2 linked regions of the Kluyveromyces lactis genome follow. The protein of the gene in region 1 purifies or fractionates together with the protein of each later gene. This does not show direct contact. Links are inferred from orthologs where the notes say so. Each region holds a gene or a part of one and is shown in the gene's direction. Other genes may lie near its edges.

Region 1 (8,150 bases):
CGCATGCATGCAAACACACACACACATGGGAAATTAAAGATCGAAGATGAGTAGGATTGTTAAGGAGTATATGGGGTTGCAGAAACGGTTGCAGACCCCTGAATTCTCATGGATCAGTTTTCTTGCACCGGTAGATGATGATGACTTATCCGAATGGGTATGTCGATTCCAAGGCCCGTCAGAATCGCCGTTTGAAGGGTTTGAGTTGGGTTTGAACATTACCATAGATCTGGAAAAGTATCCGATCAGTGGCGGTCCTCGGGTTCTGTTTGAGCCACGTACCGTGGCTCACCCTAACGTGAAGTGGGACACGGGCGAGATTTGCCTAGATCTTTTGAAAGATGCATGGACCCCGATATATACCTTGCTAGATGTTGTTGGAGCTATAAGAGATTTGTTGGCAGACCCTGGTTTGGACTCGCCACTAGATCTAGACATTGCCCAGATATACGATGCTGACTATGAAGCCTACGTGCAGATTGTTAGGTATAGACTTGAGGAGGCGCGGTTGGCACGCGTTTGAGTACGACTTTTACGTAGAAATACACAGCAACATGGCTGGATTTTTCATTTTTCCTTGCAGTGAAATTGAATAGGAATGATTGAAAAAGGATTAAATGATGGAAATGATGCAACTTATATTCCTTTGTACATGTTTTATACACAAATGTATGTTACTTTGACTTAGTACTTTCTTTTTGCCTAGCTTCCCTATTGTTCGCGGGGTGGAGACACTTGATTATCGAAAGAGAAATGGCTAGAAAGATTACATGGAAAGACGTTGGGGTTAAGGACGGGTTCCCATTAATTTCACCTGGGTTCGCTACAGAATCGGGGAATCAGTTACTATTCAGTAGTGGTTGTGTTGGTACAGATCCTGTTACCAATGAACTACCTGAGGATTTGGAACAACAGGCTAGAAATTCCATGATCAATTTGAAGAAAGTGCTTGAAGTATCTGGATCTTCTGTTGATTCGGTCTTGAAAATCTTGCTGTTCGTTTCCGATGGTAGTTACGCTGGTATCGTTAACAAAGTTTTCAAAGAATTCTTCCCTAATCAACCTGCTAGATCGTGCATTGTCGTTGCATTCCCCAACAATAAATTGAAAGTCGAATTAGAATGTATCGCTGAGATTCCATCCAAGAAAAGATGGTTCAAGTTGTGAAGGCGGGGTTTAGATTTTCCGGGCTTTGCGTTCCAAAAACTGTGGTGGAAAAGCCTATTATATATATGCCTCTATAGCATGTTAATTATACTATATGTTAACGAATATATGTTTAAAGAACAGACTTTGCTGGGAAATTTACGAATGTTCTTAATCCAATCTATGCCATAATAACTGAAAAGCAAATTCAATTACCATGGCACAGGGTGAAAGTACAAGGTGAACGGCGTGTAGTGTCCGAATCAAGTAAGATGTCGAATAAGGTTGCTGCGATGTGAAGAGCATTGAATTGTAATAATTAGGAAGAAAAAAATAGAAGGGCACCGGATGAGACTTGAGCCTGCAGCTTGTTTATGTGTATATTTGTGGTATCCGATTGATAAGAATTAATGAGTTTTCCAAAGTTAAGACCAGCTTTCCTCTAAAACGGTGAATTGAATGATAGGTTTAATGTATGCAGCGATGGGGTAGGATCAGTCCATTCCCAAAATAAAGTGCATTATTTCAGCTTCCACTGCTGTAGATACTCTTGAACCACTTCTTCGTATTGATCTACCGACTTCTCGTCGGAAAGTTCATCTGTCTGTTTTGGTGGGAACTTCAAGGTCATCTTCTTATCCTGTGGTTGATCCAACTGATAAGGTTTCAAACTTGCAGATACTTTATTAGGTACATCGTTCCATTCAGGGTAGAACTCCATCCCCATTGCACTACTGGACCAAAGAGCGCTTTGTAACAACTTGTTTGGTATCCGTGGATTATAACGCCACGTCCCGTTCACGCCCCCAGATAAGATCCCTCCGGTCCCGTTGGGACCGGCCATGAATGGATGTTCTGGTTCGGATGCGAAAGCTGCCTTAGACTTTAGTTTACCTCCCCCATTCTTCTCCCTTTCCACTTCTAGTTCCTTCACTTTCGCTTGGAATAGCGGGTTATCCCTCAGCGGAGACACAATAGGCCTGTATCCGCTGAACAAAATGTCAGCCGTGAGTTCTTGTGGCGCAAGAAACCTTGTCGTTGGCACGCGAGGAAGCTGTCTATACATTTGTGTGGCTTTGGACTTTGGAAATGGCATTTTCCTATGGTTGTATTATACTTTTTCGATGCTTTGATGCTTTCAACTAGATAGTAAAACCTGTTTAGATTCTTATTTGTCCGACAGTACGTTATCAGACCTTGCTTTTAAATAGTCTGACAAGAAAACACGATATTTCCGATAAACGATTTAATCCCCTGTTTCCTCTGAAAATATTAATCCACCGAGCTTTAGGAAAATCACGTAATTTCACATACTTAAATACTTAAAGCAACTAAGTAATCAATTTCGAGACGATAATCCAAGCGTTAAACCCTTGAACTATATATACTCATTTTATATATGTCAGATCAAAGGATGATGAAACCGCATATGTCATACGTTGCTCACCGAGTCAATCCGACTCGTTTTCACACTATGTCACTATGTGTCTAAATAAGACTTCACACACCCCTGGTTTTTCTTGTGTAAGACTCAAACATTCTGGGGGAAATAGCGGGCAAACCTTCGGGTACCACGCGTGTTTCTAGCTCAGTTTATGGGTGAGAATTGAGATTAGCCAAATTCTGAAAAACTAAGTAAAGAAATGCAAAAACCGGCTAACGGTATATGCAGTGTTAGCTGGTGCTCTCGGCGATATCGGATCAAGGATTGGTATCTCGGGGCGGGTGTGTGGGTGTATTACAAATGTTTAAAGGAATGTGATATTCACGTGAATATCACGTTACTGAACTTTTTTGGAGGAACCCATCTTTTTTTTTTTTTTGAAAAACACATTTACAGATATCAAATGTTATAATACTATTATAGTTTATGTTCTAACATGAGATGAGGTGGGATGAGAGATCGAATGAAATGAAGCTGGGTGTACTTTTAGAGGATTGAGCTGGACTTAACTGAGTCAGTGAAGAGGAACGAACGGAAGAGCTGCTACTGCTTACCCTGGTATCGGTCGTTTGTTTTGTTTTAAGACTCACTCTTCTGGACTATAGAGAAAACCCTTTTCTCTAGCGCCGTGTAATTTGCATACGCATTCCAATTTACCATGCTACAGGAAAAGAGTTCTGTTCAGCGATTATTTTTGGCCGATTCGGATGTTGATGAGAGCGTACTGTTAGAAAAACTCGTCATTGCTCTTTTTACCACGGTTCCTGGACAAGCGGTTGTCACACAATTGATTAATGATGCCAAACGAACAAATGACGTTGATGGGGTTGAGTGTCTGATACGAATGAACGATCCCTACTGGGTGGCACTTTTCGGTACTTGGGCAACTGATAAGCATATTTTGTCATTATTTCTAGGGTGGGTTTTAAGGAATGAAACGGATCATATCGATTTAGAGAGGTATTCAGATCAGTCGTTTAAAATGGCTATGAGATTTCTTCTCACGAATCAGGACCCCAAATTCACTGCACCACTATGGGATACATCCAACATTTTACTAGATTATTTGCATAATGCTAAGCCTTTGATAGAAAGTGTTCTTAAGAAACTTGACGGCTCGCAGTTTTTGCAATGTCTAATGAAATACAACCGATTGTATGAATTTAATGGTTCTTACCAATGGTTTACCCCTCCGCAGTCCACATCACATGCAGAATCTCCAACTACAATTTTAGAACGTAATTCTACTTTTTTATCTACTCTAGGGAATTTTGGTAATGATATGGTTCGTGCTCTCTCTCAGTTGAAAACTGGCGATATACGGCTGAATTCACTAGAATCATACGGAAAGAATTCTGGGCATAATAATCCACCGTTGTCAAAACAAGATGATCACAATCCGTTAAACTTGAATGGCAAATCTGATCGATTTAATTTGTTTTTTAAGCTTGGGTTACACAAAGAGCCTCATCCACTCCTTGCAGAGCAATTTAACTCACTTTGCTTATTTGCGGATCCCATGACTCAACCTCCTCCAAACGATTCTCATATAATTTCATTGGATTTATTGCATGACCTGTATCTAGGTTCTTTGACTGCTTATATTGTTAAACTGATACCCAATTACCAGAAAGTCTGGAAAATTCATTTGAGCGCAAATTTGGAAACTATTACATTGGCTATTTTGCAGATGTTGCAGATTTGGGATTATAGATCTCTAGACAATTTGAAAGATATCCAAGCAAGAAGCCCTGATGCATACCCTAAATACATGACATCGTGGATCCCATACGATCTTTCTCCGCCCGAAATGGAAATTCTTTATATGATTGCAGGATTATCTTTCTATTCGATGCACAAGATGCACTCTGATAAGCCGCCGAGGTTGAACCCATTCTTACCTATGATGCTTCGAGCATGGAGAGGTTTAAGTTCAGCATTAGTGTTAGGTTTGCAAATAGATAGGTTTGAGGAAATGCAGATGCTATATGGTACTCCAGTAATTGTTAGTGCAGTCATTCGTGGAGCTTCTGCGTTGCGCTCAATTATCGCAACGATTCTCAACGGTCATGTGGATGAGAAGTTGCACGATTTTAAACATCAACCTTTTGGTGGGTTCATGTCTCCTCATGGAAGGAAATTATGCAACGGGGCTCTTTACACATATGAAATGTATTATTTCGCAGCACTCCTACCATCAGGTATGGATTATGACGAAATTGTTGAATTATTGACTGATATACAAAAAGGAGATAGAATTGATGAAGATGTCAGATATATGTTTGATTATGAGTACTTTGATTACAATGATGCAGATACAAGTAAGCTAACAGATGGTAAGCTTATGTTTACATCTACTAAAAATGAACTCGAACAGAAAAATAGATTCAGAATGCTTAGGGGACTCTACAAGCGCTGCCTTTGCAAGTTTAGTGATGAAGACGACAATGATGACGATGATGACGATGACGATGATGATGACTATAATGGTGAAAAAAGCGTTGTTGGATTGGATGAGAATGGGCAGATCAATGAAGCTGAAACCCCTCAAACGTTTAGCGAAAGTAGCAATGCTGTTGCTTTCACATCTTTAATGACGCACAGAGACTCTCAAAATGATTTCGTTTCTCATCTTACAACAGGTTATGATAAAAACGGTGATGATTGGAGGGATATACCTCGTGGATTAAATCTATATTATATGGATGATTACCAATTTTTGTCTAAGTTGGACAAAGTTTCTCTCTTTGAGTTGTTGAGACGATTACCAGATAGAAACGTAACGTTTTCTCAAGCCTGTACGGTATTGAGAAGTATTGCAACATGTGTGAAGCTAGAACAAGAACAAATTCTACTGAAATTAATTACGGCCACTTCTGCAGAGGTAGATTTGAAAGTGCTTCCTTTTTCTACTGATGAAGTTATTACGGCAATTTTTAATGATGATGGAGGAATTATAAAGCCTTTTCCATTTTCAGGCTGCAATGATAGCTTAGGGTGGAAAATCTTCGATGAGTTGATGATGAGCCATGGGCACAGAAGGCTCTTAATCTATCACTTGACACATAGGTCGTACACTTTCTCGTCCATCCATTACGTGTATGAGTTGTTATTCGGTCTAAGAGGCAATCCTGCCAGGAGTTATGATTTAGAATCGACTAAGAACAAACAATTGGGGATTCTTAGCTGGACACCCACTGGAGAATTCGAAAGGGTTGCTGCAATTGAATTCTCTAGACAAGGAGTTATTGAACTTTCTGCAATTGAGAAAAAAATGTTGCTACAAGAATTTTTCGTGGGTGTGTCTTCAGGACTGCTAGGTGAGTATAATGATGCGGGTTTTGAAGCTTTTTCAATTAAAAATCCTTCAAAAGTGTATGTAGATGATTATGGTGAGGAGTTCTTCTCTGCAACATCGCGTAAGGCTGAGATGTCTGGGAAAGTAAAGATGGTGTGTTTCATTTTAGAAGAAGTATTAAACGATAAGGAATTCGAGTTTGTTCCACATGAAGATTACGTTTACGAATTAAAAAGGTTTTTGATGCAATGGTCGACGTTTTCTGCTGAAGCATGTTCCATGTATGCTCTTTTGAAATCGAAGGCTTTAGGGAAAGTTCTTGATCTAGGGACCGAGGGGTTAGATGATCGGCCAAATACTGACCCTGATGATCAGCTTTTGCCAGTAGATTTTGATAAATTAAAACTAAGTGACATAGATGACAGATGGGATACGGAGACTGATACAAGCATTGAGAATGGTGATAAGACGTCCATTATGTCTGAAAGGTTCTCCAGAATGCTACCAGTTCAATCTCTTGATGGACAGCCTGTTGACAAAGTTTTCCGTCACCTTCTTCAGAAATATCCTTTGACTGAAGGAACTCCTATTCACGGAAGGATAACTTTGGAGTACCACGATCATATTCTGCCACTGGACATCAGAACGCATCAATCATTGCATAGAGAATTTTTGGCGGTCTTTGATATTGATTACTTAGACATATTAGAAGCTCGGCAGCAAGAAGCAGAGGAAGAGTGTGATGAAATGTCTATTTAGAATACTGATCTCGTAGTATTTCTTTCAGAGCGGCTAGTTTGTCTTTGATACCCAGAATATAGTACATAATTTCATTTTGCATGTAGGAATTTTGAAGATTATCAAGAATAAGTAGCGCGTTCTCCAATTGAAGTAGTTGAGTTTCTAACTTAAAAGAGTCCGACGGTGTCTCTTCTAGCATCAACTGCGATAACTTTTCCGATATCGGAGGAAACCGAAGTTTATTTTTCATCATCTTTTTGAATAATTCAGTGCGCTGTAGGTTATCCATTCTTTTGTAATAGGCGATTACCTTGGAAGCAAACTGTTCTTGTTCTTTCTTGGTAAGAGTTTTATTGATTTCCAGTTCTTTGAAAAGAGATTTATTTTCTTTCTTGATATTAGAGAATAGGGTTTCAGGAGTGATATTCGCTTTTGAAATAATGTGTGCCAAGTAGTGATACTTTGTTGGTTCTAGAGTAACGTCTGAATCTTCTTCATCTGAGTTTTCAGCTGAATCTTGTGCATTATTTTCATTATCATTATTTGAATTATTGAGCTGTTGAGAGCACCACGTTTGAAATAGTTCATCCCGTTTGTCATTAGAAGTAATCAAATAATAGCGTGGATCATGCATTATCCGCTTTGCTTGGATCGACCAAGTTGAGTAAGGATCTAGTTGAATTTCATTAAGTAATTGAATGAACTTAGATTCTATTTCCGTGTTATTCAACGACGGTAGCGTATCCTCTTCTTTAACATCTATAGAAGATGGATCATTCTTTTCTTCTACCTCTGATTCTTCACCAGAATCATCTGATGAGGAAGAGTAACCAGAAACTAAAATATTACTCGATTCGGATTTATCTTCCGTGTCCACGTTAGAATTTGTTACTTGTGGTCTCTCCTCAGTGATATCGTTTTGTTCTTTGTCGTTACTGTCGAGTTTTGCTTGTAAAACATCTCTGATCTCTCCATAAACGTCACGGTCATTTCGAAGATTGAACCCTCGTGCTACACCTATAAGCAATGCAAGAAGAGATGTATCAACTTTATCCAACAAAGCTTTACTCTCATCATCCGCCAGTTTGAATTGGGACACATTAGATTCATCGTTGTGAAAGAATTTGGAACCATCTTTACAAATCACTAGGTTCCAGTAGTTTCGTAGAGGTAAACAGAACACTGGCACTCTCAATTCCTTCATACCAGCTTGCTGGCTTCCGAACTCTTTTGGTTTTTCCTTTGTGGATACCTTGGACCTCGTATTGAAGTAGTAGAAATTCCCCGAAGGATCTTTAAATCGCTTCCATTCGCTCATACTTGATTCAGATAGGAACAATGGGCTCTCCGCCAATTTAGTTAAAACTTTAAAACTTTACTTTCACAGACAGGTGCAGCAATGCAAATAACATCTCTGAGACAGGTCTTCCACCTCGTACACTGGGTTGTTCTCACTAAGAAAATCCATTGAAGAGCCGTTAAACAAAGGTTCGTTCTTTTATTTTTTTTTTAATGTCGACC
Region 2 (7,830 bases), on another chromosome or scaffold:
TACCGGTACCTACAATACCAACGTTTAAAGGTGCAGACATATTGTAAAATATATCGAGTGTGTGTTGTTTGTATTGGGGCGACTATAAATCAACAAGTCAAGCCAATTAGATCAAGGATACATGTGTTGTTCATCTATATCGGAAGCACTTCCCCTTTATATATCTGGATTAATCTCTCGAACGGACAAGGTTTTTCCGGTTTCTTGCCATTCGTGTCGGGTTATTATTAATCCAGTCACCAGTTGTCACAAACCGGATAACAGTGGAACGACAACGGCAATGTCAATGGCAATGAGCAATGGCAATGGCAACTCTGGTAGCAAAGCGGAGGGAACTACGCCAAGAGAGTGGGGAGGTTCCTGCTTTGACGTAGTTTTAAGCCGTTTCTATATAGAATATGTATGTAAGACCTGCACACCTCACTGAGAAAGCTGCTCAAGCGTGCAGCAAGAGCAGACATGGATCAAGTTCGCGATCTCCGGCCATACAGGCTGCAAACACCGGCTACAGACCCGTTACTTCATTGTGGTATCGGTCCGTCGTCCAGTACGATTGGTTCCCATTTCTTCTGTACAGTGAGTGCCATACTGAAAAATTTGGAACTAAAGCGATGAGATGAGATGAGATGAGATGAACCATATACATGAGAGAAGAGACAACAGACCACAAGGTTCAGCAGGTTAACTAAGGACAACAATAACACGATGAGCAAGGAGTACAGCGATGTGGATGATTTTGCGTCAGACGAAGAAGAGGACAACCAAGTGTTGATCACTGGGAAGGATGCGAAGAAGAATGTGATTCAGTTTGATCAAGAAGAGGACGAGGAAGAGCAAGAGGAAGAGGACGAGGAAGTACAGGATGAAGAAGAACCGGAGGATAAGGTAGTACAACTCACAGAACAGCAGATAGAGAAAGAAAAGCAGAGACGACTCAAAAAGCTTAAGAGCGATAAGAAGACGAAACACAAGACCGGTGTGGTTTACCTATCGAGGGTTCCACCGTACATGAAACCAGCCAAGCTAAGGCAGATTCTCACAAGATTCGGTGAAGTGGACCGTCTGTTCTTGAAACGTGAAGAGGAGCACAAGCACCAGCAGCGTGTCAAGAGTGGTGGGAACAAGAAAACGATGTTTGAAGAAGGTTGGGCCGAGTTTATCAGAAAGAAGGACGCTAAACTGTGCGCATCGACTCTAAACGGTAATATTATCGGTGGTAAGAAGGGAAATTTCTACCATGACGACGTCATGAACGTTAAATACTTGCCCGGGTTCAAATGGGCCGATTTGACAGAACAAATCGCTAGAGAAAACGATATCAGACAAGCAAAGCTACAATTGGAAATCTCACAGGCCAACAAGTTGAACGCAGAGTTCATCCATAACGTAGAGAAATCAAAGATGGTCAACAAGATGAAACAGAGCAAGAAACGTAACCAACAAGAATCACAGCAGGTCGATGAAGAAGTTCGCAGGACTTTCAAACAGAGGAAAGTCGCTTCGACAAGAGCATCTGCTCCAGATTCTCAGAGACAATCCCAACCGCAATCGAAAGCACTCAACGATGTCATGCATAGTTTATTCTAAGATGACTATATAACACATATATAAAGCATATAGCCAAGCCAAAAGCCCTACAGAGAGTACAACTCATCGCCTGCCATTCCCATGGTCAAAGATCAGGTTTCTTTTTCATTCCCATAGTGTAAGAAAAAGTGAAAAGAAAAAATTTTCCAGCTCATCTCATCTCATCTCATGAATTGGAACAGGAACAAAGGCAGGTTCATCAGTGGTTTGTTTCGATTCAGGTTGATCTCAGTCCAGGCAAGAGACATTCAGTTACTTATTCTTCCATCTGTTTGAGTTTTCGATCGAAATTGAACGTGTTCGTTACCACAAAGAACGAACAAACGAACGAACCAAAGGAAACCTAATTGAAATCTATACCAAGGCACAATGGGTACCGGTAAGAAGGAAAAGCAAAGGAGAATCCGCGAAGGTAATACCAAGGATGGTAACCTTCGTGTGAAGGGTGAGAATTTCTACAGGGACACCAAGAGAGTGCAGTTTTTGAACATGTACAAAGGTGGTAGATCTGTTCGTAATGCAAAGGGTGACATTATCAAGGCTGCTCCGTTGCAGGATACTGCTGCTCCAACAGCAAGAGTGGCTCCTGACCGTAGATGGTTTGGTAATACCAGAGTTATTTCTCAGGATTCATTGAGCCATTTCAGAGAAGCTTTGGGCGAGAACAAGCGTGATTCTTATCAGGTGCTATTGAGAAGAAATAAACTTCCGATGTCGTTGTTGAACGAAAAGGATTCCGCTGAATCTCCAACGGCAAAGATTTTGGAGACAGAGCCCTTTGAACAAACTTTTGGGCCTAAGGCTCAGAGGAAGAAACCAAGAATCGCTGCGTCGTCGTTGGAAGAGTTGATTTCAAGTACTTCTACCGATAATAAGACTTTTGAAGAAAAGCAAGAATTGGATTCTACTCTGGGGCTTATGGGTAAGCAAGAGGAAGAAGACGGTTGGACGCAGGCAGCAAAGGAAGCCATTTTCCACAAAGGTCAGTCGAAACGTATTTGGAACGAATTGTACAAGGTTATCGATTCCTCCGATGTCGTCATCCACGTATTGGATGCTAGAGATCCTTTGGGGACTCGTTGTAAATCGGTGACTGATTACATGACCAATGAGACTCCTCATAAACATTTGATATACGTCTTGAACAAGTGTGATCTTGTTCCTACATGGGTTGCCGTATGTTTTAAACTTTCTTTTTAATCTTCAGTGATTACTACTAACCGATTATACTTTCTAACTGGGAGTGAATACCACAGTATCTTGAGAATACCAAAATTCTTTGTCAGGGTGTTTCTGCGTACATTCTAGTACAACTTACACATACAGAAGGGCCTGTTACAGTTTTGGAAGAGCAATACTACCCACCCTCGATCTATCCATCGTTTTGATGGAGTCATGGTTGAAACCTAGTTGAACAATCTTCGTTTTGAGGATATATCAGCGCTTTTATTTCGGGTACGGAGGAACTTAAGAGTTGAGCTTTGGATCTGAAAAGAATTATTATGCCATGGCTCGTAGTAAAGAACCTCACATCACCACTAATATACTCAATACAGCATGGAGTCAACCCCCAGTAGAAAGCATAATTGGTTATTGATTCACATATGTGATTACAATTTTACTAACACGATTTTCCCTATTTTTGATTCTCAACAGGCAGCATGGGTAAAACATCTATCGAAGGAACGTCCCACATTGGCATTCCATGCCTCTATTACCAATTCATTTGGTAAGGGTTCGTTAATTCAACTTCTACGTCAATTCTCACAACTGCATAAGGACAGACATCAAATCTCTGTTGGGTTCATTGGATATCCAAACACCGGTAAATCCTCAATCATCAACACTCTAAGGAAAAAGAAGGTCTGTCAAGTGGCACCTATTCCTGGTGAAACTAAGGTGTGGCAATACATAACTTTGATGAAGAGAATCTTTTTAATCGATTGTCCCGGTATTGTACCGCCATCCAGCAAGGACAGTGAAGAGGATATTCTATTCAGAGGTGTGGTAAGAGTTGAACACGTTTCGCATCCTGAACAATACATTCCAGGTATTCTAAAACGTTGTAAGAGACAACATTTGGAAAGAACCTATGAGATCTCCGGATGGAAAGACTCTGTAGATTTCATCGAAATGATTGCAAGAAAGCAAGGTAGACTATTGAAAGGTGGTGAACCAGATGAAAGCGGGGTATCGAAACAAATCTTGAACGATTTCAACAGAGGTAAGATCCCATGGTTCGTACCACCACCAGAGAAGGACAAGATTGAGGAAAAGGAACCTGGTGATAAGAAACGTCCTGCAGAGGAAAATCAAGAAGATCAAGAAGAGGAAGAGAAGGAGCAAGAGGAACAAGAAGAACCTGTTTCTAAAAAGGCCAAAAAGGAATAAACCAAACACTTCCTCAATATTTAATTCTCTCCAGACACGGGCATCGCTTTATATATAGACACACCATATACAATCTTATCGGATCTATCGTTTTTGTACATTAATATCAATCGGATGACTTAGGCTAAGTCTTGCACATAGAAATTTATTAAATAAATAGTAGAAAGGCTGGATAACACCGAACGTTGTGAAGCATGCAGATCAGGGGCAGAAACACTGGACAATGGACCCATTCGGGTCCACTGTCCATTGAGAAGTGGTGCCAGTGGTAATATCAACACCGTACACAATGACATTTCCCTCGAAAATTCTGTTTCTGCCAAAGAGGAACGAAACAGGAAAGCCTTTAGCATTAGATAAGGAAGAGACAGAGACATATATGGTTGGAATACGATTCAATTCTGATTTAAGAGTTGTCATTTAGGACTACTCCAGTAAGTACGATAGAATTTTAATGCAATCTCTTAATAGTCAGCTCGGAGGATTGCCAAATTCGGAGCAATTTTTCGGGAAGGGCGCTGTTCAGCAGCAAGGGCCAGTTGGGATGAACGGGATGCTTTTCTCCCCTTCTATGAATAGTACTCGTATGATGCCTCAACAGTCGCAACAACCACATGTGCTGCATGGGCTTGAGAACAATGGGGGTCTTCAAAATTCGTACTTGTTGAAACAGAAGATGGATGTGGTAAACAGTGCTTTTGGGCAGCAAAACAACTTACAGCAGCAGCAGCAACCGGGAAAAATGCCGTTGCCGAATAATGGGCAAGTTCCTATGATGATGCAGAACAGCATTTCCGGTGGTAACTCTAATAACAATACGATTCCACAGCAGATGCAATTTCCAATGCCGGTACAACAACAGGCAATGGGAAACGTGAACGGGCTTGATACAACACCATTACCTAATGCATCTCATACGCCAATCTCGTCTCCAGCGCATCTTTTGATCAGAGAAGTGTGGCAAAACAACGTAAACTTCGAGTTTGCCATAATCCGTAAAATGATCGAGCAATACAAAGTTATTTCTATAAGCACCGAGTTTGTCGGTACGATAGCGAGACCCATTGGGAATTTCCGCTCAAAGACAGATTACCATTACCAGACGATGAGATCCAACGTGGATCTACTAACCCCAATCCAGATTGGACTTTCGTTAAGCGATTTACAGGGGAATAAACCAGACAACTTCCCATCCACATGGCAATTCAACTTCCATTTCGACGTAACAAAGGAGACCGTGAATTCGGAATCGTTAGAACTATTAAAGAAATCCGGTGTCATCTTGGAGAGACATCAACAGAACGGTGTTGATTTCGACGAGTTTGCTCAGTTGATGATGGATTCCGGGTTATTGTTGAACGATGAGGTCACGTGGATCAGTTACCATGCAGCATACGATTACGGGTTCTTAATCAACAGGCTCATGAACACAAACATGCCCAACAACAAAGAGGACTTCGAATGGTGGGTTCAGAAATACATACCAACGTCGTACGATTTGAACCTAATTAACAAGTTAGTTCATGAGGTAACGCAACAACACCCACATCCACCACCATTACATCTATTACAAAGTCAACAGCAACAGCAACAAAACCAACAACAGCAATATACACTAGAACTACTGGCTGACGAGTTGGGGATTCCGATCTTCCCATTGTTCAGCAGCGCAGCGGGACAAAGTCTCTTGGCACTATTGGCATACACCCAACTCGGTAAATTGTCTTTGTACAAACTACGCAATGGAACAGATTTCAGTTACTACAAGAACCTGATCTACGGAATCACACAGGAGTAATATATGTGATTTTTATGTGCCAGCCTTTCATATAGAGTATCATCAATAATGCATTTATGTATGTGAATATATATATATACATACACAATCATTCTTAAAATAGGGTATAAAAGGTGGCTGACTAGCCACCGTCACTGAACTGAACTGATGCTGACCAGTGCGAAACCCACAGGTTGCAAGAGCGCAACCTGTGTACTTCATTCACCTGGCATCTCGTGAGGCATGATTTCATAAGATGATTGACGAGTTTTCCATTAAAAAATTTTGAAAATTGACTCTTTACATATAATCACTAGATGCAAACATGCACATACTTTGCTTGTGAGGGGCGTTTCTTGTTGTTAGGGTGTCTATTTGGTTCGCTTATCGGTTTTCATGCATTCATTAGAAACCAGACTTTAATCTTTAGCGATAAGTTTGAAGCGTGAGGCACATATACGGTGTTCGTAGTGCTGAAATTTCCCGTGAGTCTGGAAAAAAGCACCCATAGGAAATTAATACTTTTTTGTTATTGTATTCTAGTATACCCTATACTTTCCTGCTTGAATATCCACCGTTAATACACTTGGATTAAAACGTTGTTAGAGCGTTATTAGAGCGTGCTTTTCCCTTCTTTTTTTTTTTTTTGTTTGACAGTTTTATTTTTAATTCATTCAAAGGTCTTTCTGATTGACAACGATTGACTGTATTGCATTCATTTCATACACTTTAGCATTCCAATTTGATTTTTTGATACCCGCGATCGGTTTGAAATTGAGAGTTATCAAAGAATAGTTGAATTCTTTTACAAGAACCAGTGTGTTTTTTCCTGTTTAGATTAATTTGATACAATCACATTTGGTTTGGAAAATATGACCACTTACGATGTGAAAGAGATCGGATATGCGTTCCTAAGGACGTACTATGAACGTATGCATAATGATCCATCGAAATTGTCGTGTTTATATTCTACCACGGCGGAATTGACCCATGTGAATTATAATGAACCTATCAAGCATGACAAAGATTATTTAAACACCGTCAAGTTGATTGGTAAGGATAACATCAACAATTTCTTTACCAGAAACAGCAAGCGTGTACAGGATTTGAAGGTCAAGATTGATTCGTGTGATGTGCAATCTACTGGGTACGAGAGTTCTTCGATTCTGATATTGATATTAGGGGAGCTATGCTGGACGGATTCACCATCTTACAGATTTTGTCAGTGCTTTATCCTGGAACCAGCAGAGTATAACAGTAAAGTCTACGATTTGAAAAACGATATCATTCGTTTCATTCCTGACCTTGCTCCATTAGTGAACCCAGACCAGCCAGTATCACCACCATCTGCTGTTGTTGTTGAAGCTGAGAATGAGAAGCCAAATGTCAACGGGGACGCAGCTCCTGTTTCTGTTCCTGTATCTGTTTCTCCAGTAGTGGTAAAGGCAGCAGCGAAACCGGTTGAGATTGTCAAGCCAATTCCAACTGAGAAGCAACAGCCCTCTACTGCTCCAACGGAAACAAAAGTGGAACAACCCCAAGCCGTTTCAGTAAATAAAACTAAACCTAAGGAAAATGAGGCGATTGCGCCAGCTACTGCTCCTGCTGCTATTGCAGAAAAAGAAAAAGAAGACAAGGAAGACGAAGCACAAGCACAACCAAAAGAGCAAGCGACTTCAGCATCAGCCACCCCAACCTCAACGACAACCCGTTCTGAATCGGTGCCCCCACAAGAGGTTCCTGAAACAGAAGTCACCCCAAAGGCTGAACCAGTGAAAATGACTTGGGCAGGCAAACTCAACAAGACATCTAAACTAACTACAAACTACATCAAGGTAGATCTTCCACAAAAGAAGTCTAAAAGTCCACCTCCAAACGGATTCACCAAGTCAAACAAGAAAAGCAAGCAGCAATCGAAACCAATAGGCGACGTTATCATCCAAAACAGCAGCGGTTTCTACCCAGTATACGTGGGTAACACAAATGGGTTGACCGCATCCGAACTTGAAAGAGCTCTAATAAAAGAATACGGTGATGTCGTAAAAACCTCATTCCAAGATTCGTTCGCTGTGGTT

Evidence for each region. Proteins that work in one complex are often made in the same cells at the same time.
Region 2: the proteins of CAF130 (region 1) and POP2 purify together in Saccharomyces cerevisiae (affinity purification with mass spectrometry; 4 studies listed by BioGRID). This does not show direct contact. The link is inferred for Kluyveromyces lactis from reciprocal best matches to the Saccharomyces cerevisiae genes CAF130 and POP2.

Annotation. Positions count from the first base shown.
Region 1 is NC_006041.1:357,492-365,641, reverse strand, and holds CAF130 (CCR4-NOT core subunit CAF130), read left to right. Parts: upstream 1-3,248; coding exon 3,249-6,647; downstream 6,648-8,150. Other genes in the region: PEX4 (E2 ubiquitin-protein ligase peroxin 4), read left to right, coding at 47-523; KLLA0_E04005g (RidA family protein), read left to right, coding at 754-1,167; SUE1 (Sue1p), read right to left, coding at 1,667-2,242; URN1 (Urn1p), read right to left, coding at 6,640-7,947. UniProt on the Saccharomyces cerevisiae protein: Acts as a component of the CCR4-NOT core complex, which in the nucleus seems to be a general transcription factor, and in the cytoplasm the major mRNA deadenylase involved in mRNA turnover.
Region 2 is NC_006039.1:1,667,593-1,675,422, reverse strand, and holds POP2 (CCR4-NOT core DEDD family RNase subunit POP2), read left to right. Parts: upstream 1-4,432; coding exon 4,433-5,776; downstream 5,777-7,830. Other genes in the region: KLLA0_C18887g (uncharacterized protein), read right to left, coding at 1-40; RNA-binding ATPase activator ESF2, read left to right, coding at 706-1,587; putative GTPase NOG2, read left to right, coding at 1,957-2,763, 3,244-3,978; BRE5 (Bre5p), read left to right, coding at 6,628-7,830. UniProt on the Saccharomyces cerevisiae protein: Acts as a probably catalytic component of the CCR4-NOT core complex, which in the nucleus seems to be a general transcription factor, and in the cytoplasm the major mRNA deadenylase involved in mRNA turnover.